Linked DNA regions of Notamacropus eugenii. The protein of the gene in region 1 interacts with the protein of each later gene in a pairwise test. Links are inferred from orthologs where the notes say so. Each region holds a gene or a part of one and is shown in the gene's direction. Other genes may lie near its edges.

The links.
Region 2: the proteins of LMO2 (region 1) and ADAMTSL4 interact in binary tests that used the Homo sapiens proteins (3 or more experiments, as listed by UniProt). The two-hybrid records come from large-scale screens. The link is inferred for Notamacropus eugenii from reciprocal best matches to the Homo sapiens genes LMO2 and ADAMTSL4.
Region 3: the proteins of LMO2 (region 1) and zinc finger protein 24-like interact in binary tests that used the Homo sapiens proteins (3 or more experiments, as listed by UniProt). The two-hybrid records come from large-scale screens. The link is inferred for Notamacropus eugenii from reciprocal best matches to the Homo sapiens genes LMO2 and ZNF24.
Region 4: the proteins of LMO2 (region 1) and IFT43 interact in binary tests that used the Homo sapiens proteins (3 or more experiments, as listed by UniProt). The two-hybrid records come from large-scale screens. The link is inferred for Notamacropus eugenii from reciprocal best matches to the Homo sapiens genes LMO2 and IFT43.

Annotation. Positions count from the first base shown.
Region 1 is NC_092877.1:17,525,460-17,532,769, forward strand, and holds the start of LMO2 (rhombotin-2), read left to right. Parts: upstream 1-4,293; 5' UTR 4,294-4,474; coding exon 4,475-4,515; intron 4,516-7,310. UniProt on the Homo sapiens protein: Acts with TAL1/SCL to regulate red blood cell development. Also acts with LDB1 to maintain erythroid precursors in an immature state.
Region 2 is NC_092873.1:304,419,575-304,427,011, forward strand, and holds the start of ADAMTSL4 (ADAMTS-like protein 4), read left to right. Parts: upstream 1-4,436; 5' UTR 4,437-4,515; coding exon 4,516-4,535; intron 4,536-4,858; coding exon 4,859-4,916; intron 4,917-5,126; coding exon 5,127-5,461; intron 5,462-5,674; coding exon 5,675-6,398; intron 6,399-6,783; coding exon 6,784-6,886; intron 6,887-7,437. UniProt on the Homo sapiens protein: Positive regulation of apoptosis. May facilitate FBN1 microfibril biogenesis.
Region 3 is NC_092873.1:72,398,627-72,405,944, reverse strand, and holds the start of zinc finger protein 24-like, read left to right. Parts: upstream 1-4,308; 5' UTR 4,309-4,783; intron 4,784-7,194; 5' UTR 7,195-7,271; coding exon 7,272-7,318. UniProt on the Homo sapiens protein: Transcription factor required for myelination of differentiated oligodendrocytes. Required for the conversion of oligodendrocytes from the premyelinating to the myelinating state.
Region 4 is NC_092878.1:59,236,809-59,244,154, forward strand, and holds the start of IFT43 (intraflagellar transport protein 43 homolog), read left to right. Parts: upstream 1-4,327; 5' UTR 4,328-4,410; coding exon 4,411-4,464; intron 4,465-7,346. UniProt on the Homo sapiens protein: As a component of IFT complex A (IFT-A), a complex required for retrograde ciliary transport and entry into cilia of G protein-coupled receptors (GPCRs), it is involved in ciliogenesis.

The DNA of each region.
Region 1 (7,310 bases):
CAAAGATCTATTTATTTTTGTGACTGATTCTTGCCCCAATTCAGAATTAGAGCATGTAAGACAATAACTGGCTTGTTATCAGACTTAATTAAAGCAAAGAAATGCAAACATACTCTTTGCTCTCAGAGATAATAAACATTAATATGTTATTATAAAATTCTTTAAAAAATTCTTAGCTTGTTCATGTTTTTTTAAAAAAAGGATTTATTTTCTTAAGGAAATTGTGAAAGCCTTCATTTTCATCCTCACTGACTTTCTGATCTCTCCGATTCTCAGAATTATAAAACAGTTAGGACCTGGACCCCCATGAATTTTATCCCTTCTTTACTCTCCTTCCTGATTGTACAGTGATTATGTGTGACATTAAATATTTATCACATAATTCAGGCTGCCTGAGAAAGTCTGGGAGGCTTTTCCCATTAAAAGGAAGTGTCTGAGCATGAGAACGTCTCTTATATTAATAACTTAAAAATATATAGTGAAGGCTGTGGATATAGAGTGGCTCCTTTAGCAGCCTCCTGACTCCAGGAAAATACATTTAGTTCATATTGTCAGGGACCCAGTTCTTAGAGTAAGAAGGCCGGAGAATCATAGGAGGGATAAAAATATATGCATCGTAGTCCAGGGATTAATCTTGACGTGGTCGTGGGGACTGGTCTCTGGACTTACAGCCCTGAAGGAACAAGCATTTGATTCCTCTCAGTACGAATTTATTAAGCACCTACTGTGTACCAGGCACCATGCTAAGTGCTGGAGATAGAAAAGGAGGCAAAAGACAATGCCTGCCCTCAAGGAGCTTATAATCTAATGGAGGAAGGTTGGCAAGCAAAAAAATATGTACCAAAAAGCTGTGTACCACGTAATGATTTTTTTTATCTTTTTAAAAAAATTCTCTGGATTAAGGGCTGGTTCACTGCGGGTGGGAAGAGAAGGTAATAAAAGCAATATAAAAACAAAAGATATCAGTAGAATTATTTTTTAGAGGAATAGCAAGTTCTTCCCTGAATTTCTTTTCTGGTAGCAAATGGATGTGGTGCGATAGGGATAACATGGGATTTAAAATAAGACCACCTAGGTTCAAATCCTGGCTCTGGGCCTCAGTTTCCTCATCTGTAAATGGATGGAATTGGCCAGGTTAGCATTCGAGGTCCCTTCCAGCTCTAATTCTGTCTATCACTCTATGCTCCCAAGTCAGGAAGCATGAAATCAGAGTTGGAAGGAGCTATAGAGATCATCCAGACCATTTTCCACATGAGGGATGAGGGATGAGGAGCTCCTGGTCCAAGGTCACTGGGTTAGTGCATAGCACTGCCCTCATTCTATTGCAGATCCAGTGCTCTCTCTAAGCCCCACTGTCCCAGGGCCCTTAAGAAATACTTTTTTTAAAAGTTTATAAGTGCTTTTTAATGAGGTTGTTTAATGTGAGTTTTGTGGAAATGGAGTAGTTGGTAAATATGAGCCCCTTCCTCCCACCCTTCCTATTTCTACCTTTGGAGGTGAATATAAAATAGCTCGAAAATCAGAACATCTCATTTGGCTCCTTCTGGATGCCTGGAGGGAAGGGCAAAAGAATCTTCCTGCTGTTACTTATCATTAATGCAGGGCAGTGTATTTGCAGTTATTTACTGGCTATTTATAAGTGAACAGGTTTAACCACTAGATCGGTTCAGCATTTTCAAGCAGGGGAGAAAGCCCTGCACAGGCTCTGAAATGTCTCCCTTCTCCCCCCACCTCTGCTGAACTGGGATCTCTAGCACTGCAACCCCAGGTTAGGGGTGCCTAACCTGGCCTGTCCCCAATATCTGGACAAACCTTCCTTCCATTCCTAAGGTCAACCCATGCCCTTCCTGTGACCTATACTCCTTACAGGCAAGCTATGTGCCTAGAAATAATGCTGTGGATCCTAGATCCAAAAGTGCCAGGGGCCAATTCGTCCAACAACCTCCTTTGGCAAATGAGGAAACTGAGACCGAAACTGAAACGCAGATGGTAAGGGCCAGAGGCAGAATTTGAAACCAGAGCTTCCAACTCCCAAACCAATGCTCTTTCCAGTGCCCAGCATTGTCACTCCAGTCTCTTGGGGTACCATGGTACCAGTTCACATTGATATAAGGTTATTGTTTAAATGTAGCTTCCTGACTCAGATTCTTAAATCATGCCCTGCTTGTCAATACAAGCATTACAAATTCAAGGATTCTTAAAATTTCATCCACCCCAATAGTGTTTTAATAAACATTGTCTCTGACTGAAAAAAATTAAAATGTAGCTTCCTCACAGGATGCTTCAAGACCCAGGAAAAGGAGAGCGACCATCTACCGACTCTTTGAAGGGGGATTTTAGCAATCTTCCAGCTCCTTGATCCAGGGCAAGCACTTGTGAAGTTCCTGCTTTGCTCAAAGTATCTTACTAGGCTTTGATGGTACAAGACAAAAACCTTATTTTTTAAAGGAATAGCAAGTTCCTTCAGGAATTTCTTTTCTGCTCACAAATGGATGTGGTTCAATAGGGAAAACATGGGATTTAGACCTGAGTTCAAATCCTGGCTCTGGGCCTCAGTTTCCTCATCTGTAAGGCCCCAGCCCTGAAGGGGCTCACATTCTACCTGCCTGGTCCACTGGATAGAGTGCCAGACCTGGAGTCAGGAAGACCTGAGTTCAAATTTGACCTCAGACACTGTGAAAGTCACTCCACCCTGTTTGCCTCAGTTTCCTCATCTGTAAAATGAATTGGACCATTTAAAGTTCTTGAGGTGAGGAGTAACATAGTCAGATTTGTGCTTTAGAAAAATTATTATGGGAGATGGATCAGAGAAGGAAGAGATTAGATGAAGAGACCACTTAGGAGGCTTTATAGTTTACAGAGGATCATAAATCTTCAGCTGAAATCCAAGCCCCGCCACTTTGCAGTAGAGGAAAGTGGAGCCCAGGGAAATTAATACACTTGCCCAAGGTAACACATGCAGAAAGCATCAAAGGCAGAATTTGGTCCCAAGTCTTGCAGACCCAGCCTACTGTCCTATCCATAAGAACAGATTCCTGCAGATCACACATTGACTTAGGAAACCACAAATTTACATTATCTAGGTCATATTGTATTTTTGTTTGGTTAAACATCTCCCAATTATATTTTCATCTATTTCAGACTTCTGGATTGTTTGACATGTTTGTCACTCCAAACTAGGATCTAAGGCTTTCTGAATTCTCCCACCTCCACACCTTTGCACATTTGTTGTCCTTGCCAAGACTTCTGGCTCCACAGCCCGGGCTCTTTCCATTATATCTCTCAGTGTCTCAGTTGATCTGCCACGGTGGGTTTGGGATTCCATCTCTATTACTTAATTTGTGGCTTTGAGAGAAATCGCTCCATCTCTCTATAAAATGAAGGGATTGGACCAGAGTAGCCCTGAGGTCCCTCCCAGCTCTACACCTGTGATTCGAAAAGTGGTCCTGCTTCTGCCCTTTGTCATCCAAAATGTTTTTCTCTGGGGCAAGCCTGTTTACTTTCAGCCTTAGTTAAGAGAAAGGAAGATGGGTAGGGGTGATTCCCAAAGGATGGTTTTGAGGTGGTTCAGGCCACCTCGGCCCCTGAGGGGTGGGCAGTGCAGCGCCCAGCCAGCCCCCCAGCCCTGGCATTGCCCCCTTTAAGAAGCCAGGTCAGTCGTGAGGTCGCTGCTGTTTGGGTTGTTAATCCCCCAGGAGCCCAGTTTTTTTTTTTTTAAAGGGAAAAAGGAAAAGAAAAGAAATAAAACGGGCAGCTGTCTCTTTAAATGTGATTTCCTTCTATTGTATTTGAATCGTGATCAGGAAAAAGGAAATGAAACCAGAGACAGAGGGAGGCTGAGCAAAAAATAGACATTTCAGCGAGAACGGGGGGAGACCTGCACGCCCCCGGACCCGCCCCCTCCTCCTCCTCTCCCCTCCCTCCCCGGCCGCCTCCTGCCCGCCCCATCACACACGCGCGCTCTGAAAGCCCGAGCCCAAGGTGTGCGGGGACTCCGGGGCGCAGGTTCGCGGCGGGGACGGACCGGAGCCGGAGCCGGAGCCGCAGCCAGGGCAGGGGGACCCCGAGCCGAGCCTGCCGCACCGCAGCCGCAGCCGCAGCCGGGCCGGCAGGGACAGGCGCAGGCGAGGCTCCCCGGGATGGAGGGCTGAGTGCCGGAGCCAGGAGAGCGGAGCTGCGCGGGGGCCGGCGGCCAGGCAGGTCCCATCCCAGCCCATCCCCGGGCCCGCACCCCGCTGACCTCCCCGGCCCCCCACCCTGGGGATTCGCCCGCCTTGGCTCTGCCGCTGGCTCTGCGAGGGAGCCCGTGAATGTCATTGAGGGCGGAGGGCAGAGCCGGCCGGTGAGCAGCCGCGCTGCCCGAGGAGGGCAGGAGGAGGAGGACCAGGACCCAGGGGTGCCGAGCCGCCTGCCTGGCCCTGCGCGACAAAGGAGCCCCCACCCCCACCCCAGCAGCGCGCCCCCCCCTTCGCCAATGTCCTCGGCCATCGAGAGGAAGAGCCTGGACCCGTCCGAGTAAGTGGCCGCTCCATCGTCCAGCCTCCGAGCCGGGCTTGGGTGGAGGCGCTGCGCCCAGGACCTCCTGTACCCCGCGGGGATGGGAGGGAGGGCTTGATGCCAGAGGGGTTGCTGGCGATCGCCCGCCGCGCGGGGCACCCCTCCAGGGGGAGGGCTAGGGGGTCCCAGGCGCTTGAGTGACCCCGTCCCTGGGGAGATGGGAACCCCCTGCGGAATGGATAGATATGCCTGGGCTGGGTGGGGTGAAAGGGGCAGAGGCTGGGGTCCTGGCCGGGGTCTCACTGCCCCGCCGGGCTCAGCCCGAGCCCAGCCGAAGGTAGAGAACGGACCGATGCTCAACTTGTCCTGGTTCCCGGAGCGAGGAGTGCCGGGCAAACTTTGTCTGAGCTCGGCCGGGTTGGGGCTGCAGGTGGAAGGGGGCGAGAAGGCTCCGGGAGCGGGGGGGCTCCGGCCCCTCTCCCGCCCCTCTCCTTCTTCTCCCTCGTGTCATTCCGATAGGGTCCCAAAGCTCGCTTCTGCCTTCCCCGGCCGCAGAATAGGGGGGGTCTGGGAGGAATGAATGGGGCTAGAAATGTCTCTGGGCTGCCCTTGTGGGCTCTCTGCGCTGCTGGAGGCTCCCCGGCTGTCTGACGTCTAAAGGCACCGAGAGGCCAGCGGTGCCAGGAGAGGCAGGGGTGGCTTCAAGGCTCCTGCTTTCAACGCTGGGCTTGTGGGGGGACTGGGGAGAGGGAAGAAAGCGGCATTGGGGATATGTGGGAAGGGGAAAAAACCCTTTCCCTTAAACTCATGTTAACATGTATTCGCTGCCAGGTGTGGGGACTTCTTTCCTCCCTTGAAGCCCACGCAGGCTAGTCTGGTGAGAGGATTCCTTACACCTCACTGAAGGGGTCAGTTAATAGAGATCCACTTGTGCTTTCTGAAGGCTTTTGTTTTCCGTTTTCATTTCTCGGAGCTGTTTGAAATCATTGGACTTTCCTGCCTGTAGTATTTCCCCCTTCAATTTTCCTCCACATTGTTTACCTGGGCCTTACCCTGAGATAGAGGGCATGGCCAGTCTCATAAAACCCTGGAAGGGCTCCTAATAGAATTGAAGAATAAATATCACAGTGCGGTTTGGAAGGTCAAGACCTGAGTTCCAAAGTAGAGAGCTTTGTGATCATTTTCTTTAAATAAATTCCCCTGGAGGGGTCGGATAGATGGGGGCAAATCTTGATGCATTTAGTGAGTTGTGGACTCATAAAAAAATCTCAAAGTACATCTTGGCACAAAAATACCCTGTAGTTGGTTTTTTTCCTTGTCATGGTCAGTTTAACTCCATAAACATGTATTAAGCCCCTGCTGTGTGCAAGAGACCTTGAGGAAAGGCTGCATAGCAGAATACTCTAGGTTTGTCAGTGGATACTGAATGCGGCTGAGGTCAGTAAGCTCTTCATTCACTAGCCCTTTTATTAGCCGATAAATTGGAAGGGATCAGTTTCCTCAAGGATAAATATTAGATATTTGCTCTTTGGAACTTTGGGCGTTGAAAACCTGACACCTCTGCTATCCCATAAATGTTGTTGACTTACTAACTCCATATTCTGGGTCATTCTTCCCCCCCCCCCCCCCCCCATTCCAAGGACACTTCAGTCCAAGTCAATTGTGGAATGACCAGTCAACACCGGGGTGTTGTCGATCAGAATTTTAAAAACAAACAAATAGAAAATCTCAAGAAATCATCTAAGAAATTCAAGCTGGGGTTCTGCGTTAGAAAAGGGGCCAGCAGCCATCATTGGCCACTTGCTGCGTAGAAGCCTGAAAACACTCTGGGAGCATTTCAAGTATTCATTTGGGGGTGCTCCCCCTTAGTCATTGCCTTGAAATTCTCACTGAACAGAACTCTGACTGTGGATAATGAGCTATTATAACACCAATTACAGTAAGAACTCTGTGAGATAGAGGGCGGGATAAGATCTCATCCTGTCCAAGGCTATCTTATCTCAGGCCATCTTAATACTTGCGTTTGCTTCACATCTGAAAATGTAGACTGCTTTCTTCTAAGATATTTAACTCCATACTTACAGGAGATTGGTCATTTGTGGCAACTTCTCCATGTCGCAGATAGATAAAATTGCCTTCTGAGCTGGCTTGAGCTGGGTCGATTCATTAGAAGTAAGCTTCTGGAAGGCAGGGGCAGTTTTTCCATTCCATTCTGAATCCCCATCTAATGTATAATGCCTCAGGCTTTTAATTTTTTTTTCTTGTCAGACTTAGGATTTCCTTGGCATAAAGAATTCCTAGCTATGAAACTCTTTCTTTTAAGGCAAAGGGGTACCTAGAGGTTTGCCTGGGGGCACTGAAAGGTTAAATTTCTTGCACAGGGTCATACAACTAATACCCATGTGTCCAAGGTTGTCCAACCTGAACCCAGGCCTTCCTGACTCTGTCCATTAAGCCAGGCTGCCTTGGACTTAGTAGACATTTAATAAGTGTGAAAGATTTTTTTTTTTTGCATCCAGTTATTAACTAGCCTTCCCTTCCTTTCCCTTCTCTCCTCACCTTAACTATTAACACATTTTCAAATTTTTACCATTCTGGGGGCTTGGAATGTTGAAGAGATTGGCATTTAATATATGGTGTAATAACCATGGAGTCTCCTGTCCATTCTTCCATCCACTGGACTCCACTGCCTCTCTGTAAGCAATCTAAAGGCAATTCCATTTTCATTCCAGTCAGTTGGCATCAGCTGAGCATGAATTCTTCTCTTTCATAGTTGATTGGGTGGCCATATCATCCACAACCATTCAGAGAAA
Region 2 (7,437 bases), on another chromosome or scaffold:
CTCTAGGCAGAGAGCACTGTGCTGAGGTCAGGAAAGGAAGGAAGGAAACAAGCATTTATTAAGAATGTATGTGCTAGGGACTGAGTTAAACACTGTACAATAGCATCTCATTTAATCTTTACAACAACCCTGGGAGTTATTGTCCCAGTTTTCCAACTGAGGAAACTGAGGCAGGCAAAGGTTAAGTGATTTATCCAGGGTCAAATTTGTATCTGAGGTCAAATTTGAACTCAGGTCTTCCCGACTCTAGACTCAGAATTTTATTTACTGAACCACCTAGCTCCCTACTGGGGAAGCTGAGACTGGTAGATTGTTTGAGCTCTGGAGTTCTGAACTGCAAATGGGCTCAAGTTGATTGGGTGTCTGCACTATTGGTAGGCCCCTGGTAACAGAATGCCACCATGCTTCCTTAAAGAGGGTGAAGCAATATAGGCTGGAAGCAGAGCAGATCAAGCCTTCCATCCCCATCAGCAGAGCCCTCCCTCACTTAAATCCAATTCACTTGCAAGTCAGGATATCACCTTCCTGATTTCATGGTCCTCTTCTAGAACAAAGGACAAACAATGAAATAGGACCAGGGGTAGGGAGACCTGGAATCTCTCCCCAAAAAATTAGGTAAAATTTTAATGGATAATCAATGGAAGGAGACATTTCACGTGAACGAAAAGGTGTTGCGCTGGACCTGAGACAGTAAATTTTAAAAGTAGTTCAATTTGGCAGGGCTGTAACACACAATGAATACTAGAACAGTGGCATCCTGCTAGAGATACAAAATATCCAATCAGTCAAACATTTAAATATAATAATATATTCTGATGTGGCTTTACAGGTTTCAAAGCATTTCTGCAAAGCATCTCAACAGAGATGTTGGGTTTTATGGAATTTATCTGGGATTATGGAATCACAGATTTAGAAGCAGAAGGGAGCTGAGAGGCCGGAGAGTTCGACCCCTTTATTTTACAGAAGAAAACTGATGAGCACGGCGTGGGGCGATAGTGGGAGTGGGGAGAGACAAAGTACAGAAGAGGCATCCGAGAGGAATGGAGCGGGGCAGGGGAAGGGAATGAGAAGGAAGGAGAGAAAGGGGGGAGAACAGGAGGAGGGAAGAAGAAAGGAAGGGGAGAAGAGGGGAGGGAAGAGAAGTAGGAGGGAGCGCGCAAAAGGAAGGAAAGGGCAGTTTCAGGTGCTAGTGGGAGTGGAGAGATACTAAATATAGAGGAGGAAGAGGAGTGGGGAGGAGGAGAGGAGAGGGTCCCCAGCCCTCACAGCGCTCACAGTTTTGACCACCCAACTCAGCATCCCTCCACAAGCCTCCTCCCCATCTTCCCCACGCACACGCGGATGGGAGAGACACCAGGGCCCCAGGCTCCAGTCCAGGTGCGGCAGCTGTCCACTCCCCCCGCGTTTCCCGACGGGGCCTCCCCCAGCCTGGCCAGCCGCCCTCCTGGAGTCTTTGCCTGGATAGCCCCAAGCAGCAGAAGAAGGGAGGGATGGGCAGCCGGTGCTGCACCTAAGGGGAGGCGGGGACCTGAGGCCCGTCCCGTCTATCCTTAAAAAGGAAGTTGGGGCGGGTCCCACCATTCCAGACATTGGCGAGGCGCCTCAGAGCATCGCCCTTTTCAGAGCCGTCCGAGGGTCCTGACCACCTGGCCGGACTGCCCCGCCCACGCTCTGTCCAGTCCAGAGGACCCCAGGTTGGCGGTGAGGGTCGGAGTCCCTGCCCAGGCACCCGGGGCGTCCCAGCTGGGGCCGGCTGGCTGGAGCAGCCGAGCAGGGATCTGGTGGGACGGGAGCCCACGCGGGAGGGACGGACGGACAGACGGAGGGAGGAGCGAGGGAGGAGCCTCGGACGGGGGCGGAGCCCGAGCTGGAGGCGCCAGTGACCGGGAGCCCGGCTCAGGGGCCGGGCCGGAGCGGCCGGAGAGGAGTGGAACGGAGCTCGGACGGGGAGCCGGAGAGCGGAGGGGCCACGAGCCGCGCGCAGGTAGGACCCCCGCTGCCCGGCCCGCTCCCCCGGAATCCCGTTAGATCGCTTTCCTGGAGCGCCCCGCCCCCGAGTATCCTCGCTCCTAACCGAACTCTGTTGGGGACCCCCCCAAACTTTCTCCGGCAAAGGGAGCCCACCTCTCCCCATCCATGATCAGATTCAGCGTCCCCACCCCAATACATGCACAGCGCCCCTTCTCTCCATCTTCACTCCAGTCAGGACAGTTCTGTTTCCCCCAACGCTGGCTTCCCAGGTCCGACTTGGAATTCTGTCTCTGAGGAACTGACGGGGGGTGGGGGGGAAAGGAATGCAGGTGGCTGGCAATCCTTTTTTTTTTTGCCTCAGACCCCTAAGGGTGGGAGATAGGGGTGGCATCCTGGATAACAGTTCAGACTCCAACATAAAGGGAAAAGGGAGCAAAAGGGGAAGGGTATTCAAGAAAATTGGACATTAAAGTGCACCCCACCCCCCATCAACACATTTTCCATCCCAACATCTCCAAAAAACCCTAGGAGGAAGTACAAGGGTGAAAGGGCTATTCCTCTTCTAGTTTCTGGTTTGCTCTTTGATCTCCACTAGACTGGGGAGGGGGTGTGGCCATAAACAGGTCAGTTCGGGATGGTCAGATAGCAGTGCCCATTCTGTAATCAGGGAAACTTCTAATGACCTCTGCTAACCCCCAGGTTGGGCAGAAAGGTACCAAGTGATTAGAGAGGCCAGAACTGAGGGGAGTACAGACTGCCTCTATATCTGTCTCTGTCTCTCCCTGCAAGGGGGGAGAAGGTATCGGCCCCCTGCCCAGCTGTGTTGGGGAGGGTGGGGCCGGGGACTTTTCCAGAGAGGGAGCCAGGCCTGGCCCAAGCCCCAGGAGCTCACGTCACCCCCACCCCTCTGGCCCCCACTTCTCTTGGGAACAGCCAGAGCCAAATCGAGCTAGGAATGGGATTATGTGTACTAAGTAGAGACCTGGGGAGCCATAGGCATAGACCTGGGGTGGCAGGGATATAGATCTGGGGGAGAGATAGAGAAATGGCCAGCAGACCATTCCTCCTCCAACTGGAAGTTAGTTTGGTTATCATCTCTTTTCTGCTTCAAGGTAAGGGCTTTTATCTCTTCCCTAAGTGAGCAAAGGGTTAGGAGCAGACAAGTAGACATTTATGTGAAAGTATGAAACCCTCTCTCATCCACCCTGCCTGGAACCCCACCATGGCCCCCTGCCCCATAGGCGTTGTTGCTGACCTCAGCAGGGCCAACCCAAACCCTGGGGAAGGGAGGAAGGGGCTGCCAGGCCCAGGCAGAGATGACCCCAGCCAGTTCTGATCTGACCAGTCATTTCCCTCCCCCACATTTTCAAGTCAATGGGTAATTGCAGGGAGGAACAGTAAAGATGAGCACAGATCCTTTTTATGCACCTCCATCCAAAATCTGTCTCTTTCATTCTTTCCCTAACCCCATGGTTGGCCCAGTTCTGTTTTGGTCCCTTGGACTCCTCTCCCGGGTGCTTCTTAGCTCCAACAGAAACAACTTTTTTTTTCCTGGAAAGCAGAACAGAGAACAGGGGAGGGGGCCCAGGGCTCAGAGTCTAGGCAAAGGAGGGAGGTAGGGAGCAAGAAAGAGGAGTAGCAAATCCACAGCTTCACCAGGGCTTGGAGTTGAAAGCTCTTGTTGGTCTACATAGGATCAGAACTAGATTTTAAGTAGGACTTCCTTACTTTCCAAAAAAGGGGGAGCCAAAGGCTCTTTGCTGCTTAGGATTTCTCATTGCAACACCTAGCACATTATCTTAGTTGGGCAAATTGATGAGTGACTGAGCTAAGACAGGGGCTTCTTCTGGATTGCTTGGGCCAGTGGTTCACATCCAGCTACAGAATTGTGCTACTGCTATTTAAACCATCAGCCAGTTTACTTGATTTACAGTTTGAACTGGAGGCAAGAAAAAGACAAGAGATTTCTAATCTTTGGACCTGTAGTCCAAAGGAAAAGCTGAACCAAAGGATATGAAAGTAGGAGACCTCCTGAGAAGAGAGAACCCAGTGGTATGTACCCTCTCTTGGTACCTGCTGAGGTGGGTATGTAGAATGTGCCCTGGAAGCAAGAGGACTCCTGACGGATGGAGCTTGGTACTTGAGCCGGGATAGAAATACCAGAAACCAGAGATTAGGAAAGGGAGATTAATTAGGGTATTGAGGGATTTGGTAGGGGGCAGTGAGGAGAAGGTAAAAGGGATGACTGGGAAAACCAGAGCATTGGGACCCTCAGCTTTCCAAGGGAAAGAAAGAAGACAGCAATCCTGGTCTCTCAAAATAGGGACAGAGAAGAGGAGGAGGTATTAGGTAGTGTTATGTCCTAACTTCTGTCCTTAACCTTGAACATTTTTATTGAGGGGACATAACCCCTTCAGGTGTCTAGAGAAGAGTCAGGGTAACCTTTATTCCTGCCTTTCTTTCAGGTCTTTCTTCACATCCTAAGCCCTCTAGATTTCTGAGTAGTGTGTTATCTCCAGAGGACTGGGGAGATTAGGGAGAACGATGGAGAAATGGGGAAGCAGGTAAGAGGTGAAAATGGGAAGGGGTAGTGGGATCTATCCCTGGGAGGTACAGGAGAAGAAAGCAGAAAGATGGCAAGGGTGGAAGAATGGGTAAGTAACCCCTTCTATTTTCTGACAAGCTGTGAGACCAGATGTAGGGGGCCAGGCTTTGTACCAGCTGTTCCAGAAATCTTAGTGCCATTTTAAGCTTTCATAAAGCTAAAGTTGCAATAGATATGAAAGCTTACAACTGTACTAAGACTTCTGGGACAGCCTGTATAAGAACGATTGTGACCTCAATTCTAGCTATTAACTTTGATTACTGACTGCCTCTGGCTCCTCAGACTAAGACCGCCTCTTATGCTGCTCCTGCTCCTTCCTCAACTCAGCCTAGACCAGAAGGTCAGTGAAGAGGTTGGAAGGTTTTGCCTGCTCACCAACCTTCTAGAACCCTGTCTCCCCAAGAATTTCCTAGAGCCCTTTGCTCACCCCATGTCTCCCTCCTCATCTAATTCCCCAGGCCCTTCCCTATTTGATGCCCCAGTCATTCCCCCCATTCCCATGCAGGTTACTCCAATCCCTCCTTGATTTGTCTCTTTTTCTCCCAAATAGATATCCCCTCGCCACTCACGACAAGCACATCCTGAAGAAAGTAAAATCCCTGAGGGTGTCTGGGGTTCATGGGGTCCATGGTCCCCTTGCTCCCAGCCCTGTGGGCTTGGGATACAACGCCGGAGTCGAATCTGCCAGTCACCTACATCTTTACTCCAAACCGGGTTGCCTCTACCACCCAGGCCACCTCGACATCCGGAACCCTTGACTGCTCGATCCCGGAACGCCAGACCCCAAACCCCTAGGGAGACCCTCCCTCTCTACAAGCCGGAGCCAAGGGGGAGAAGTGGCCCTCTAGAACAAGAGGAGGCTAGAGAGACCTCAGCCTTAAGGAGGTAAGGGAAATGAGGTGGGAATTGAAGGTGATATATCTCAGCAGGTAGATAAGATTGTGAATGGAATAGGTGAGCCTTAGAACAAGAGGAAACTAGAAACTGGGATAGGAAATGAAGTTGATTACAGGAGTGAGGAACAGAAGAGATTCAAAATGTTAGTTATATGGGAGAAGTAAGCAGAACCATAACTCTGTAACTATAACAATTTCCTAGGTCACGTGTTCGAGATCCTATCAAGCCAGGAATGTTTGGCTATGGGAGAGTTCCCTTTGCTCTTCCCCTACATCGGAACCGGAGGCACCCACATGGACAGCCCAAAACGGAATTCCCCAGTGATGAGGCTCCTCAGACTCTATTTCCAGAGGCAGAACTCCTCCAAGACTCTAAAACAGAGGATTTCCGAGCTCTGACTGTCAAAACAGAACCGCCTGTTAATACTCAGCTCCCCCAAACCCAGATCTCTTCTACAGTACTGCCCCCCCAGGAAGACCTTTACAGTCCCCAGAATCTTGGGACAGAAACACCTCCTAATACCAAGTTTCTAGAGTCGCAGATACCCCCAAAGACAACCAACTTCAAAGCAAAGTCCACCCCCACCCCATCCCCCAGAACAGGCAATTCCCTTAATCAGGTCCACCCACAGAGATCACATCATTCCCAGCAAATGGGACCAGAATGGAGAAGATCCCCCCATCCCTCCTCCTCTGCCCCCCGGGGCCAGGGCCGAGGCCAAGGTCATCAGAGAAGGAGAGAGCAGTGGGCACCCAGAAATGCCCATCAACAGGCTGTTGAAACTCCCCCTCACCATTCAGAGAGTTGGCTGCCTTTACTCAGCTCTGGCTCCAACTCAGGTCCCCTCTGGAGCCTTTTTGCCCCCAGTGCCTCTGCCCTGAACTGTCCTGGAGAGAAGGAGCAACTGAGAGCCTGTATCCAGAAGGTGAGCTCTGCCTTGATCCTGGATCATCTAGGCTTCTAGATGTTCCTAATTTGCATAGAAACCAAAGCTGTGCTCCAATAATTTGGGGGAAACTGTTCTGGAAAAGAGTGAGGGATCTAAATTGGGATCTAAGGTCCCAATTTATCTTATCTAGTCCTGAGGATAGATAACCCTCATGTCTGAGCCCTAGCTCCCTCCTTTGTAGGCCTCCATTTTCTCCCTGGGTTATCATCTCCTAGATCTTTGTCGGGAGGCCAAAGGGCATACTCTCCTAGTTTCTGATTCCTTCTTTCCCCTCTGCAAATCACTCCATCCCAATCCTCAACTGCTACCCTCCTATTGTTTTTTTTCTTAGCCCTGACAATTCTGTTTCCCCCAACTTCAGCCTTGCCCCCCTGAACAGCCAGATCCACGGGCCCTGCAGTGTGCCGCCTTTGATCCTCAGGAATTTATGGGCCGACTCTACCAGTGGGAGCCCTTCACAGAGGGTGAGAACTGAAACCCAGGACCCCAAGACTAGGGAGGCTACACGTTGGCCCCTTTCTAGCCCTGAAAATCTTCCATTTGTGCATTATTTTCCTAACTGTATCTCCTGCCTCAGTTATCCCCTCTTTTCTTTAGTTTCTCTCTTTGAGGCATTATATGCCCATGTGGGAGAGTCCCCTTCCCTACAGGACAGGGAAAGGGGATATATTTTCCCTGAATTCCTTAATTTCCGCCTTTCCCTCCCCATCAGGCAGTCTGTGCTGTTTACTTAGCCTGAGTGGCTGGGCGAGCGAGGGGGCAGGAGGGGAGGTGGGGTATATATAGATGGCTCTTTGTGCTTCAGAGGTCTCTGCCAGTACCTAGGAGGGAAAGAGGGAGGGGATGTGTGTGTGCGTGTGTGTGCCTTGTGTGTTTTAGGGGAAACTAGGTCTGTATGATGCCTGATCTTCTCAAAAAAGCAAAGCAACTAGAAAACGATGGAATCATGCTGAGGGAAACTAGCCCCCTACAACTGAATGGTTTTCACTGTCCCCTCTGGCGAGGTCAGCTGTAT
Region 3 (7,318 bases), on another chromosome or scaffold:
CATACCATTTGTATATATGAGAGAGAGGATTTGAACTCGGATCTACTAGATTTCAAAGCTAACACTCATCTACAACACCATGCAGTCTCTCTTGTTATCACACTTTAATATGAAAATTCAGGCTTATAGGAAGGGTAGCCAGAGAGGTATAGGCCCAAGAATAGATGGTTGCCATTATCTGGGATGAGAGATTATTGAGGTCAAGAAATGGACAAGACTCCCAGTTTAGAAAAAAGACATACTCTGATTTAAGCTAGTAAGAATGTAAATAGTATGTAGTTTAGAGCTAGCTCATTTGACAAGAACAAGATGCTTCCCTGTGTTAGTAGGAAGTCTCTAACTTTAAAAAATGTGTGTGTAAAAATAAGCTACCAAATCAGATTATCACTTGACATCAAAGTATATTATAACAAACTGATGTTAAGCTAAGTGGTGATAGCATCATTATCATTTGGAAATGGAAAGTTGTAGGGTAAAACTTTTTCAGAGTATCTGAAGCATTGTCTAAGAGGATCCCCTTTATTAGCTGACTCGTATCTAATTATAATGGCAGGCATATCTTTATAATGAAGAAGTGTGATTGATTGGGCTATTGAATCTTATTGTAAGTATCACTTAAAATTGAGCAAAAGGAACTTTAGATAATTTTGTCACAAAATTTCAGAAGTCTCAGTACCTGAGAGGCTACTTATTCCAACCCATAACTTAACAGTATACCCCAGATAGCTCAATACCAGAAAAAGATAATTAGTTAATACAACTATGTAATTGTGATTAATACATATATATTTCCCCAACATAAATTAAAAAGTGACTTCCTAATACAAATAAATTTTGGGATTTGGGTATCACCCTTGGGTAGCTTAACCACTGTTTCCAAGCATAGACTTTGGATCAGATCGCAGTCAGAGTCTGGACCCATGATGATACCACAAAAATGTAGAAACTGGTAATACCTGATTTAAAGAACTTGCCAAAATGCATTCTTCAAAATTGAAGTTAAAAACATCCCCACTATAGTTTATAAGTTTTAAAGATTTTATATTTTCCAGCAGCTCATCGATATGTATTGGGCAAGTATAGTAGCACAGAAATTATATCTACATGTTTAATGGAAATAAGTGTTCTATTTGAAAATAAAGCAACTGGCTTATTTATTTAAATTACTTTGACAGAAACTGATAAACTAATTTTCCCTTTTGAGGGATTCATTATACGTATTATAATAATACACATTTTGTTAGTGATAATGCCTATGTAACGTACTCCATTGACTGTATTCTCCTGTTGTGCTTCAGTTACACCACTGAGTAGACAAACGTCAGACGTGAGAAAGAAGAAGGAAAAGGAAGTACCTGTAATTGGCCATTTGGTCTACCTGTAACTGTCACAAAGTATAATCATTTCACACTTCTCCCAAGATTATTAATATATCTAATGCTTTGGATGATTCCAATAGGTTGGAATTAGTGTGGGCCAGCTAAAAGTATATGTGACAAATATATAGCAACAAGTCATCAAAAAAAGCCAGTGGGGAAAAGTGAATGCAAAATGGAGCTTGCTTATAAATATGCTGATAGTGATGATGTCATGTGGATTATAGAGTTAAGTATATATGTATGACTGTATTGATATAATGTATTATTTTATATTATAGAAAATGTAAGGGTCTTTTCTTTGGGACTCATTCTCCTTGTGGCTGAAAAGAGCAAACCAATGACCAATAAAGCAGTGACCTCCCCATAGATAATCATTGTTGTGTGTTATTCCCCCAATAAGAGGATGATCATCGTTGCGTTAGGACTTGGATACCTTGCACATTAGACTGGAGAGTCTAAATCAGGTAAACTGAGGGGTACAACTACCCTCATTTGGTTAATCATTCATTCAGCAAGTGTTTATTAAGTGCTTAAAACATACCAGGCTCTGGGGATACAAAACAAAAACACACCTGCCTTTATCTTCTACTGGGGGAAACTGATTACATGGATAAGTAAGTACAAAAATACTCAAAGTAATATGGGATAGGGGAAATGTTCTGAACAATGGGAGGAATCAGAAAAGACCTAATATAGAAGATGACACTTGTACTAAGCCTGGTTGGAAAATAGGAATTCTAAAAAAAACAGTTGAGGAGGGGAGTAACGTCTAGGTATGGGAGATATTCTAATGAAAAGGCTCAAAGGTGGGAGATGAAATGTCATGTTCAGCAAGTTAGACCAGTCTGGCTATGACATATGTAAAGGGCACAACATATGATAAGCCTCAAAAGACAGGCTATGCCCAGATTATGAAGAGCTATAAACAACAAAGGACTTTGTATTTTATTCTATCAATTCAATATGATGTAATCAAAACTTTCCCTGGGGACCATAGGTAGGAAATCTGATCAGAGCATTCTTTCTTTCTAACAGCTGAACAAGCCCTTTAAAGTTTCAGAAAACATGGAGGTCTCTATCTGGAAAATTTCTAGGCATGATCAAGATATTTGTACCTGCTATTAGGTAAATGAAATAATCTCCAAACACAGGAGAAGATTTAGGGAGGATGTGATAGTTTTCTTGAAATATTTTAAGTCTCATCATGGAAAATATATTAGACTATTTTGCAGAGAAACAAACTTTGGCTTCAAACAAGGAAACTATTCCTAAGAGCTGTCTAAAAATAGAATGGGCTGTTTGACAAACATTAAGTGACTGCTATGTGAAAGACATTCCTGAGAGTTGAAGGTAAAAAACGGAACTAAAGCCTTCAAAGAACACACATCCATTGGAAATGTAGTGGGTTCTCCCTAGCTGGAGGTCTTCCAGCAGAAGCTGGAATCACAAGGTGGATTCCTCTTCAGGTAGGAGTTGAACTAAATGACCCCTGAGGCTCAAACCCAGACTGAATCTGTGATTTTACAAATCTTTTATGCTTTTGATGGCAAGTAACTAAAAAATTTAGTTGTAGTAGAAAAATACCTGCCAATGTACCATACTTATGAAAAATTTGCCCAGTGAGTTGTCTTTTCTGAGTTGGCTCAAGCTTTTTGTTAGAACTAAAAAAAGCAGAGATAATGCAGACCAAACTTTCACTTCCCCCAGCCATTTAACCAAAAGAAATTTAGCTCTGTATTTGTTTTCAAGCATCCCTGAAATTCCACCTCATGTGACGAACCAGTTTTCCTTCCTTAAAAAAAAAATCTTGTAATCAGTATATAATAACTTTGGTCTTTTTTATTTCCTTTCCTTGTGTATTTCATATCTTATAACTTTTATGGCACCATAATATTCCATTACATTGAAATACCATAATATATGCATTCTCCAAATAAACAGCAAACATTAAGTACCTACTATGTACAGCATTATGGTGGACTCCACAAACAAAAGTGAACCAGCCCCTACCCTTAAAGTGCTTGCATTCTAAAAGGGAATTTGGAGGATGTGGGGCTTAGGGAAGGTGCAGAAAAACGCTAGGAAAGGCTTGGTGCAGAAGGTGATGCTTGTGCTGTCTTAAGTAATTTGGGATATGAGTAGTTTTCAATTTTTGTCTTTTTCAAATCTCTCTCTCCTTCCCCTCCCTCCATATATGTGTGTGCATGACATTTGCCTTAGTCTTGACATTTTAAATGACTATTATTTTAAAATGTTTGCCATTCCAACAGATACAATATATCCTAACATGTAACTTTCTAACGAATATATTACCGGAAAACTGTTGGAGATACTGTTTCAGACACCTAGCAGATACAAGAAAGCTTGACATTATGTAACTTTCTAACGAAGATATTTCCGGAAAGCTATTGGTGGTAACTGTTTCAGACAAATTGACAATTGTTAATGGAAAGATACATTGTTGCTAGGTTGTAGAGGGTTTCAAAAACCAAATCGTTTATACGTTCCAAAAGTCTTAGTGCAGGTTTAAATTTTAGTATCAAAACTGCACTAAGACTTTTGCAATGCCTCGTATCTTATCCTAGGGAACCAATGGAGTTTATTGGACAAGGGAATGACATGGTCAGTCCTGTACTTTAGGAAAATCACTCAACTGTGTGGAGGGTAGACCGGAGAAGGAATAGACTTGCGATAACGAGAACCTGGACTAGGGCGGTGACTTTTGGAGGCTTTGTGCATAGCGAGAAGGGGTAGAAAAGGCAGGATTTGGCATCTGACTGCAAATGTCGGGGGAGACAGGATAAGAATCGTCGCCAAGGTTACGAAAAATGCTTGCCGCCCCTTTCCGTTCTGAATCTACCATCACATGCTTGTAGGATTCCCCACTCCCTCATCTCTACGGCAACCACTTGAGTCACTTCCCCCTGGCCCGCTCCGGATTGAGAACCGGAAGCAGCTCTGCCGGGAGGCTTCTGGGAGAACGTTTTTCTAACATCCTTTTACGACAGCCGGGGAGAAGGCGAGCCACCTCCTTCCCAGGCCGGGGGTGAGAACAAGAAGGGTACAGGGCAAGCCTGCGTTCGGACAAGTCCGAAGTGGGGGCACCGAGAGCGAGGACCCAGGAGGCTTCATTCATCCGTGTGTCCCAACTGCTGCACCCATAGCCCGAGATCTGCGAGGAAGGACGGAAAAGGGGGGAGAGGAGAACTTGGCGATTCTTCATGGCCACCCTGCTGTGACGTTTTCAACCTCATCTCCGTGCCCCGCCGCGGAGCCATTGAGGGTTGAGTATTCCAAGGGAGGTGCCTGTCTGCAGAAAGTAGGGGCCGTGTGCGAGGGCTTCTGGGAAGAGTAGTCCGGGCTGGGTGTGTGCGGAAGTCTTCAAAGGGTCTTCTTGGAATTAGGTGAGTGCTGGGTTGAGGGTCCGAACATCTCAGGTTGCCGGCATGTCGCCTCTGTGGCTCCCCAGGGATGCGCCTGGGCGTCCGTGGAGGTTCTAGACCCTGCAGCCAGAACAGGAAGATTGTTTTTAGAGCTAGGCCTGCTGTGTCCGTGTCCTGTACCCCTCGATGACTCTTTCCAGCCTCACTCCCTCCTTACTGAGCTGACGGGGAAATTTTTCTTAGAAAATAGGCAAAAAAGAGGGGGAGGGGGAAAGGAGCGTTTCCTTAAGTAGCTTTCGATTAAGCGTTGCTCTCTGCGGCCAATAAATGAACACACATTTTTGAAAAACTACATACTAAGTGCCAATTGCTGGAATAAACCCTGGAAATACACCCAACTAAATAATGATGCACTCCTTCTCTCAAGAAGTTTAACATTCTGTTGAGGGAGACAACGTGGACGTAATTTAGAATATGCAAAAGACAAACCCCGTAATTTTGGAGAGAGCATTAGCATCTTGAGAAAGGTTTCCCAGAGAAGGTGTTACTGGAGTTGTTTTGAAAGAAACAAGGAAATTAAGAGGCCGAGATGAGGGAGTGCATTCCAGGCATAGGATTCAGCCAGTGCAAAGTCAAGGAGATGGGGAAATGGAGTGTCCTGTGTAAAGACCAGCAAGGTCAGTCTGGCTGGACTGCAAGAGTGTGGTAAAAAAGGAGTGGATAATAAGGGATTTTGGAAAGGCAGGCTGGGAAAAGGTTGTGAAGGGTTTCAAATGTCAAAACTCTTTTGTACATGGTATTTGTTTGAATTTAATCCTAAAGAATTAAGGAACCACTGGAGTTCCAGTGAGAAGGTTACATGGTCACACCTGTGCTTTAGGAAAGCCATTCTAGTAGATTTGTGGTGAATGGATTGGATTAGGAAGAAATAAAACAGGAAGAGGAGGTGACAGACTATTACAGTGATCTATGCATCTGGCGATGTGGGCCTGGTCCAGAGTAGTGAGTGTGTGAAGAGATGGGTGACATTTGAGATGTTAAAAAAGTAGAAATATAACTATTTGGCGACTGAATAATAAATATGTGGACTGAGGAAGGGAGGTTTCCAAAAAATAGACAAAAACCTTGCGCCTAGTCAGGATTAGGAGTGAAAAAGCACACTAGTAGAATCTTTTGCTCATAAGGACTTATCTCGGACTCCTAGGGTTGACGGAAGTCCCTTTCTCCTGGTTAGTACATAATGAACTTTTTGAAAAGAATAAAGGGTTCCTTGACCACAGTTACTGAGTAGACTTGAGTCTTATTCAAGTTATTTAAATAAATATTGAAAGAAATGCACAGGGCCTGAGGTGAAGGTAGAAGGAAGGTAGAAGGAGGTAAAATTTTTCTGTCATTTGTCTTTGGTTCACTGGAGGGAAAAAAAGTGTGCTGACTACCCACAAACAAAAAACAATAAAGATCCATATAAGATTTGAACAGATATTACCTTAGCATTACAGATTTTACTGTACCACCCATTTCATCATGCTTAATATTTACAGATGATGTGTACTGAAAATTATTTGAGGACAAAATTAGGGGAGCTGCCTTCAATTTTTAAGAACCACTTTCTGGGGATCATTGAATACATTATCCACAGTTGCTATTAGGTAGCTGTTTCCCTAAAATCTGACTCATACACTGGAGGTTTCTCACAGATTTTTAGTTCATTCTTTGTCTTTCTAGCTAATCTTTTATTTGTTGTTTTCACTCATCTTTGTGACTATATGAATAATAATATTAGTGGTAATTTCTCATATTCATTTTTTTTTTTTTTTTTACAATTTTAAAGGCAGCTGGTGGCACAGTAGATAGAACACCAGGCTTGGAGTCAGTAAGACCTGAGTTCAAATCCAGCCTTAGACACTCACTGCTTTGTGACCCTGGACAATTCTCTTAAGCTCTCTCAACCTCTGTTTCCCTAACTGTAAAAATGGCAATAATAATAATAACACCAGGCATAGTGCCAGGTACATGGTAGTTGCCATATAAATACTTATTCCTTCCTGGTTTGTCACAACACACCTGTGAGAGAAGAAGTGCAAGTATCATTCCCCTTTTTCAGATGAGGAAATTGAAATTCAGGGAAATTTAATAGCCCGAAGTTATACAGCCAATAAGTAGTAAAGCAGAGACTAGCATTCCAACCAGAATAATTGAGTGCTTTGGCTCTTATGACCAGATTTTCCTTTCCTTTTATGAAGTTGTGGTTTATATAAGGAATAAAATATCAATATTTCTTTGTTCAGTCTTATTTTTCTATCTCATAGAAAAGCAAATATCCTTATCGGATGATTAGCTCCTGACTAACCTTCGTTATCATATATATGTCTAAGCTTTTACGGTTAGTTATCTGTTGCTGCTGATTTTTTTTTTTTTGTCCAATATTCCAGGAGTGGTAGAAGAGCTAAAGGTAACTATATTGGACCCCAACTGAAGTAAGTTTCCTTCCGACATAGTGTCATTCAGAATGTCTACAGAATTGAGTGAGGATTCAGTATTGATTTCTCCCACTCT
Region 4 (7,346 bases), on another chromosome or scaffold:
AGGCCACACATGTACAATCATATTAAACATATTTCTACATTAGTCATGTTGTGAAAGAAGAATCAGAACAAAAGGGGAAAACCTCAACAAAGAAAAAAAAGAGAAAATAGTATGTTTCAATCTGCATTCTCCATAGTTCTTTCTCTAGATGTGGAAAGCATTTTGTCTCATGAGTCTTTTGGAATTATCTTAGATCATTATGCTGCTGGGAAGAGCTACATCTGTCAAAGATGGTCATTGCACAATGTTGCTGTTACTGTGTACAACAGACCTTCACAACTTGACAGTAGTTGGGGACAAAATTAAAATAGGCTAAATTTATTCAGCTGCAGATAGGTAAGACTAGAGATAAACTGATGATGGTTGTTTGCTGTGGGTCAGGTGACAGAGAGGAGTGTGCACAGTGGCAACTCTATACTTCTTGTGTGCTGTTAGAAATTCTTTGTTAGGCCACAAGTGGGCCACAGGCCATATGTTATGCAGGCCTAGTGTACAGGGTTCTCCTGGTTCCGTTCACTCCACATCCGTTCATGTAATTCCAGGTTTTTCTGAAATCTCTCTACTCCTCACTTCTTATAGAACAAAAATATTCCATCACAATCATATATCACAGCTTGTTCAGCCATTCCCCAGTTGACGGACATCCCCTTGATTTTCAATTCTTGGCCACCACAAAAAGAGCAGCTGTAAATATTTTTGTACATGTGATTCCTTTTCCCTTTTTAATAATTTCTTTGGGATGCAGACCTAGTAGTGGTATTGCTGAAAAAAAGGGCATGCACATTTTTATAACCCTGTGAGTATAGTTCAAATTGCACTCCAAAATGGCTGGATCAGTTCATAACTCCACCAATACCCAATTTTCCCACATCTTCTCCAACATTTATCATTTTCCTTTTTTGTTATATTAGCCACTAGGATAGGTATGAGGTGGTGCCTCAGAGTTGTTTTGATTCGCATTTCTCTAATCAATAGTGATTAAGAACATTTTTTCACATGACTATGGATAGCTTTAATTTCTTCATCTGAAAATTGCCTATTCAAATCCTTTGACCATTTATCAATTGGGGAATGACTTGCATTCTTATAAATTTGACTCAGTTCTCTATATATTTTAGAATCGAGGCCTTTATCAGAAACACTGGCTATAAAAATAATTTCATAGTTTTTTTGCTTCCCTTCTAATCTTGGTTGAATTGGCTTTGTTTGTGCAAAACCTTTTTAATTTAATGTAATCAAAATCATCCATTTCATAAAGGTCTTTATCTCTTATTTGGTCATAAATACTTTCTTTCTCCATAGATCTTACAGATAAACTTTCTCTCCTAATTTGCTTATAGCATCACCCTTTATGTCTAAATCATGCACCCATTTTGACCTTAATCTTTGTATATAGGGTAAGAGGTTGGTTTATGCCCAGTTTCTGCCATACTATTTTCCAATTTTCCTGGCAGTTTTTGTACAATAGTTAGTTCTGATCCGAGAAAGTGAAGTCTTTGGGTTTATCAAACAGTAGGTTACTATAGTCCTTGATAATTGTGTCTTGTGTACCTAACCTATTCCATTGATTCACCCTTAGTGGGCTTTTTAAAAGGAAGTTACCCCACCCGTGATTCCCTCTTCTTTTGACCCTCTAGAGCAGGGGTGGAGAACCTGCAGCATTGAGGCTACATGTGGCCCTTTAGGTCCTCAAGTGGGGCCCTTTGACTGAATCCAAATTTCACAGAACAAATTCCCTTAATGAAATGATTTGTTCTGTAAAACTTGGACTCAGTCCAAAGGCTGCACCCAAGGACCTAGAAGGCCACATGTGGCCTTGAGGCTGCAGGTTCCTCACCCCTGCTCTAGAACCATTGTGTTGACCTCATTGTATGCCAGTGAAACCTGAACAGTGTACCTGCATCATGCCAGGAAACTGAATGGCTTCCATTTAAATTGTCTTACAAAGATTCTGAAGATCCCCTGACAGGTAAAGTATCAGACACTGAGGTCCTTTCTTGAACTAAACTGCCAAGCATTCAAACTCTACTACAAAGAGCACAACTCCAAGAGGCTGCCCATGTTGTTCAAATGCCAAATGTGCTTCCCTAAAAGACTATTTTACAGAGAACTCACACAAAGTAAGCGCTCACATGGTGGTCAGAAGAAGCAATACAGGGACACTCTCAAGGTCTCTCTGAAGAACTTTGGAATTGATTGTGTGACATGGGAAACACTGGCACAGGACCACTCAGTGTACCCTCATTAAAGAAGGTGTACTCTATGAACAAAGCAGAATTGAGGTAGCTCAAAAGAAACACAAGATGTGCAAATCTAGAGAATCCACCCCAAATGTTCACAAGGATTATTTGTGCCCAACCTGTGGTAGATCATTCTGAGCTCATATTGGTCTGATCAGCCACAGTTGAACACACTGTAACTTAACTCTAACATAGTGATGCCATTTTGGTCCTCTTCGAGAACAAAGGACGACCACCACCAACCATGACCCTCTAGGGGATAGCATTTAGAACTCGGGTGGAAAACTTCCTAGATGACTGAACATCAGTCTAGAGATAGGAATGTCAAGGTTTGCAAAGTGACCTTACTGAGTATGAGAGGTCCAGAGATTTTGGGTCCCTTTTGATTTCCCTTCTAAAGGAGTCCCAAGAAACTACTAGCACTCTTGAAGAAGTTGGCCCCTTTCTGAAGGATGAGCCCGATATTTTTGGCCTGACTTGCCAAAAGACATCTCCTGAGTGTGGCAAAGCAGAGGTGAAAACGTAAAGTACCTTTTTGGCAGTCCCACGAATGCTTTATGTTGGTGGTTTTCTGTATGTCTCCTAGCTGAGTATCACAGTAACTGCTAGTTTAGTTAGCTTGGTTAATTTTTTTCTTTCTGTTACATCTGTGAGTCTTTTGTTTGCAGGAAATAACTAACTATCTCATTCCTGATTTACATCATATACACCAGCTATCACTCTACGCCTCCACTTTGGGAATACGATAAGATATGAACCCAAACTTAAGCTTTAAATAAATCTTCCCCAGTGTATAGTAGTGCGGAAGAGGAGGAAGCCAGAGTCCATTGAGCTCGATGACAGACAGTTGTGAGGCACATAACAGAAACTAAATAAATATTGAATTGGGTTTATTAAGCATATACTATGTACATGGCACCGTGCAGTACCCTGGAAATATGAAATGAAATGCTCTTTAGTCCTCAAGAAGCTTAGCACAGTCTAGTAGTAGGGATACATGTATCTAGCAAGTATGTCTGTTATTTCTGCCTTAAACTACCCTTCTTCAGTACAGAACCAACTTTGGACAAATTAGCTAGAGGCAGCTTTATGCAGATGAAAAAGCACTGGTTTTGGAAGCAGAGACCTGGGTTCAAATTCTGCATTTGTTATTTATGACTAGTTTGAATCTTTGGGCAAGCCTTTCTTAAACTCTGTGACTTCAGACCTCATCTGCAAAATGAGGGGTGCTAGAAGGAGAGTCGAGTTGGAATAAATGGCCTCCAAAGTCCCTTTCGGTCCTAAATCCTTGATCCTGTAACCCTAAATGCTCACTCAGTCCCACAGGAGAAAACTCAGTGACTTTTAGCAAGAGAAAGTGCTTGAGGCAATGACTAGAAAGAGAACTGTTCCTCAGGGGGATGGGCATAATTCCCTGAAGTATTACTCAGCTAGGACTAAGAAAGAACAAGTCCCACCTCCTTTCTGCCCCTTTCTTCATTCTCTCTTCCTTTCCCTCCTCTCTTTTTCTACCCTCTTTTCCTCTTACTTTCTCTTCCCTTCTCTCTTCCCTTCCTTTTCATTCCTCTCTTCCCTTCTTTGTTCCTTCCCTCTTTCTTTTTTCTGACCCTATTTCCTCTCCTTTCTCTTCCCTTCTCTTTTCTCTCCTCCTTTCCCTCCTCCCTTCTTCCTTCCCTTTTCTTTCTTTTCACTCCTTTTTCCCTTCTTTCTTTTCTCTTCCCCTTCTCTCTTCCTTTCCTTTTCATTCCTTTCTGCCCTTTTTTTCCTTCCTTCTTTCTTTTTTCTTAACGTTTCCTCTCCTTTTCCTCTTCTCTCCTCCTTTCCCTCCTCCCTTCCCTTTCTTTTCTCTGCTCCCCTTCTCCTCTCCTCCCTGTCCTTTTCCTTTCCTACTTTCCTCCTCCCTTTTTTCTTCTTTTCTCTCTCCCTTCTTTTCCTTTCCACTCCTCCCTTCCCCTCTCCGTTTCTCCTTCTCTCCTCCTGTTTTCTTTCCCCTCCTCCCTTCCTGTCCTCTTATTCTACCCTCCTTTCTCTCTCCCTCAGCGGGCACCCAAGAGCCCTGAAAATCAGTCGCGGTCCCTTTAATAGCGGGGTGGGCGGGGGCGGGGAGCCGGTTGCTAGGGACGCTATCCGGGCCCCGGGGCTCCCGGAAGTTACGTCAGCAGCCGCGGCCATGGAGGATGTGTTGGATCTCTGCGAGGAGAAGCGCCGCGGATCGGCTTCTTCAGTGAGGACTGGGCCAGCTGGGGAGGGTTGGGCGGCAGCGGCTCGGCCCGGTTCCGGCCGGCTCTCCCCTCCTGCCTTCCCCCTCTGGGGAGGAGGGGACCCGGGAGAGGCCGGGCGGGGCCGGACAGCTCGCCCGGGCCGCCGTGAGGCTTGGGAGGAGCGGAGTGCGGCGGCCCAGAGCCCGAGGCCGACGGAAGCGTTCCCAGTGCCAGACTTTTAAATTCTTAAAATAAAATACGTTAGGTGAAAACCAAGATACCGTCCCCGCCCCGCCCCCCATCTCAGTCCCCAGGACCCCTGGTGAAGCCCCCCGACCCAGAAGGACAGGGGCGGCCCGAGGCCCGGGCCCGAGAGCTGCCCCCCTGGGCTCAGCAGTCACCGAGGGTTGTTTGGGGTGTCGAGTCCCAGACTTGGGGGTTTCGGGACCCGAGGACGCTCTCCGCAGTGTCCGGGGACGCCCAGAGAACTTCTCTTTCTCTGAGTCGTCTCTGTAGAATTTACGTGTCAGAAACCAAAGCTGACAGATTTAAAATGCCCTGAGAGTGCACCTGTTCCATGCTCACATAAATGGCATTTGATGAAAAATAACATTTCCAAAACAAAAAAAATGAGTGAGAATGACGCTGTTTTCGATAGTTTTGCAAACTCTCTGCGTCTGGCTCCCTGGAGGACAGCTGGGTTCAGTTGGCTTCTGCATTCTACCTCTTGGGATGTCTTGGTTTCATTGAAGTGTATTGGGATTCCTACAGATGGGGAGTTGGAAGAGATGGAGCATTTAAACAGGCAGAGAAGATCTTAGTATGATGACAAGCGTCATTTTGACCTCTTGGAGTCCTGAAGCGAGGGTTCTGGGTCCACACTTTAAGAATCCCTAGATTTAAGGAGTGCTGTCATGTCATTAATGGAGGCTCTTGTAGCGGCTGGCATGTTTTAATGAAAACTATATGTTGTATACCTATGGGCATACAGATGATACTCCCTCACTTCTCAAACTCACCAAGAGGGTGTTTCCCAGCTTCACCATCTGTATAAATCACAAGGGTGAAGGTGCCTCTACATTAGGCTAGTTCCCAAGTCAGGCTTTTTTTTTTTTAAGTACAAAGGCTTATCTAAAGGGCATTCTCTTCCTCCCCTTGTGTTTGCTGTCACAGTTATTTGAGATCAGATTCACCAAAGGGTTGGACAGTTTTGGTCTAAGGGCAGTTCATTGTATTTCATTACAAAACCCTCAGTCAGCATGAGGGAAGGGAACAACGGTTAAATATCAGAGTATTGAATATTCCGTCCCAAATACTTTAGGACTATCCCATTTGATCCTCACAACAACCCTGGGGGCGGAGGTACTATTATTATCCCCATTTTACAGTTGAAGAAACTGAGGCAAATAGAAGTTAAATGACTTGTCCACGGTGACGCAGCTACCATCTGAAACAGAATTTGAAGCCAGGTTTTCCTGCCTGCAGGCCTAATGAATGACTTGTACCGTGGTCCCAGTGGAAAGATTCAGTGGAGATGTGTGGATGGTATTCAGTGGCCTCCAAAGAATGTGTATTAGATGGGATGTCCTTGTTTCACTGACCAGCTAAATTGCAATAGTAGGACATTTGATGTGCCTAACTACGTAGTCATGGACAGTGCTGATAGGTCAGTGATGGTACATATTCCACCAAAGTGACCATTAAGAGTTTGTGATATTACTAGATAATATCTTCTTGGAGTTATATTGGATCTTCATAGAGCTTAAAGTCTTTATGCAGTTTTAAACTTGAGTATCTAGGATGAACATCTGTTTTTTAAAAAATTGTAAAGAGCATTTAAGAGCAAATTTTAAAACTGGATTTAAAAAATGGGAGGGAGTAGTTGTCTGGGTGAGGAAAATGAAACAATGAAGATCAGAAACTGTTCTGAATCTTCTGTTCTTAGAGGAGTGTTGGCAGGGGCACTGAGGATTTAACTAATTTGTCCAGAGTCACACAGTTTGTCTCAGAGGCAGGACATGAACCAAGGCCTTCTTGACTCCCAGACCTATGCGTTATTAAAAAATGCACTGAAATTTAGGATAACTATAATATTTTTGAACCTGGTGTGTTGTTATTTCAGGTCCTGAGAAAAACAGAAAAGCTTAGGATATTAAAGTGACAGAAAAACCTTCTAAAAGTCCTGCTTAACTCTTTAGAATTTAGACAGGCTAGTAGTTCCTGGTACTTCATACAAATTTTATCTGACTGAGCCAAGTTTAGTTTAGGCCCTCAAAAAATAATCTCCAAGATACTGAGCCTTTACTGCAAAGGACTTTTGGAAACACCTGCAAATGTTGGTTTTGATTACCTCAAGTTGCAAATGTCCTGATTTCAAAGCATTTTGCCTCAGAATTCTTGAAGTAGTCTCCCTTGGGTGATGTCTCTTAGATGCACATCCAGACAGAGTCCAAGTCAAAACAACTGCTCTCTGTATTTCTCTGGTGTAGGCTGCCATAGAATCTAAGAAACCTGTTTTCCAACAATATTTGGTAACCATTCTCATGCAAAGTTGCAGCTTAGAAATTTGGTTTCCTGAAAATCCTGTAGTTAGATATGGAATCCTTTACTTCTTTTCTTTGAGTTGTGCTATGAGATCTTAGTCCATCCTAAAATTGTGTTTCTGGGTTTAACGGAGTGAGTTTAATCTCCAAATAGTCTGTGACTTTTGGGGTAAAGCTCATGAGAATGAATTGGTTTTCTCCTCTGCTATAGAGCATATCCAAGTTGCTTATTTTAAGGTATACATAAAGCCTGACAATTCTATTCAAATTATATCTTTCTTCCCTTGTGAAAATTCGGTCCTCACAACCATTTCCAGATTTCTTATCCCACTAGTCATTATGAAAGTAACTGACACAAGGTC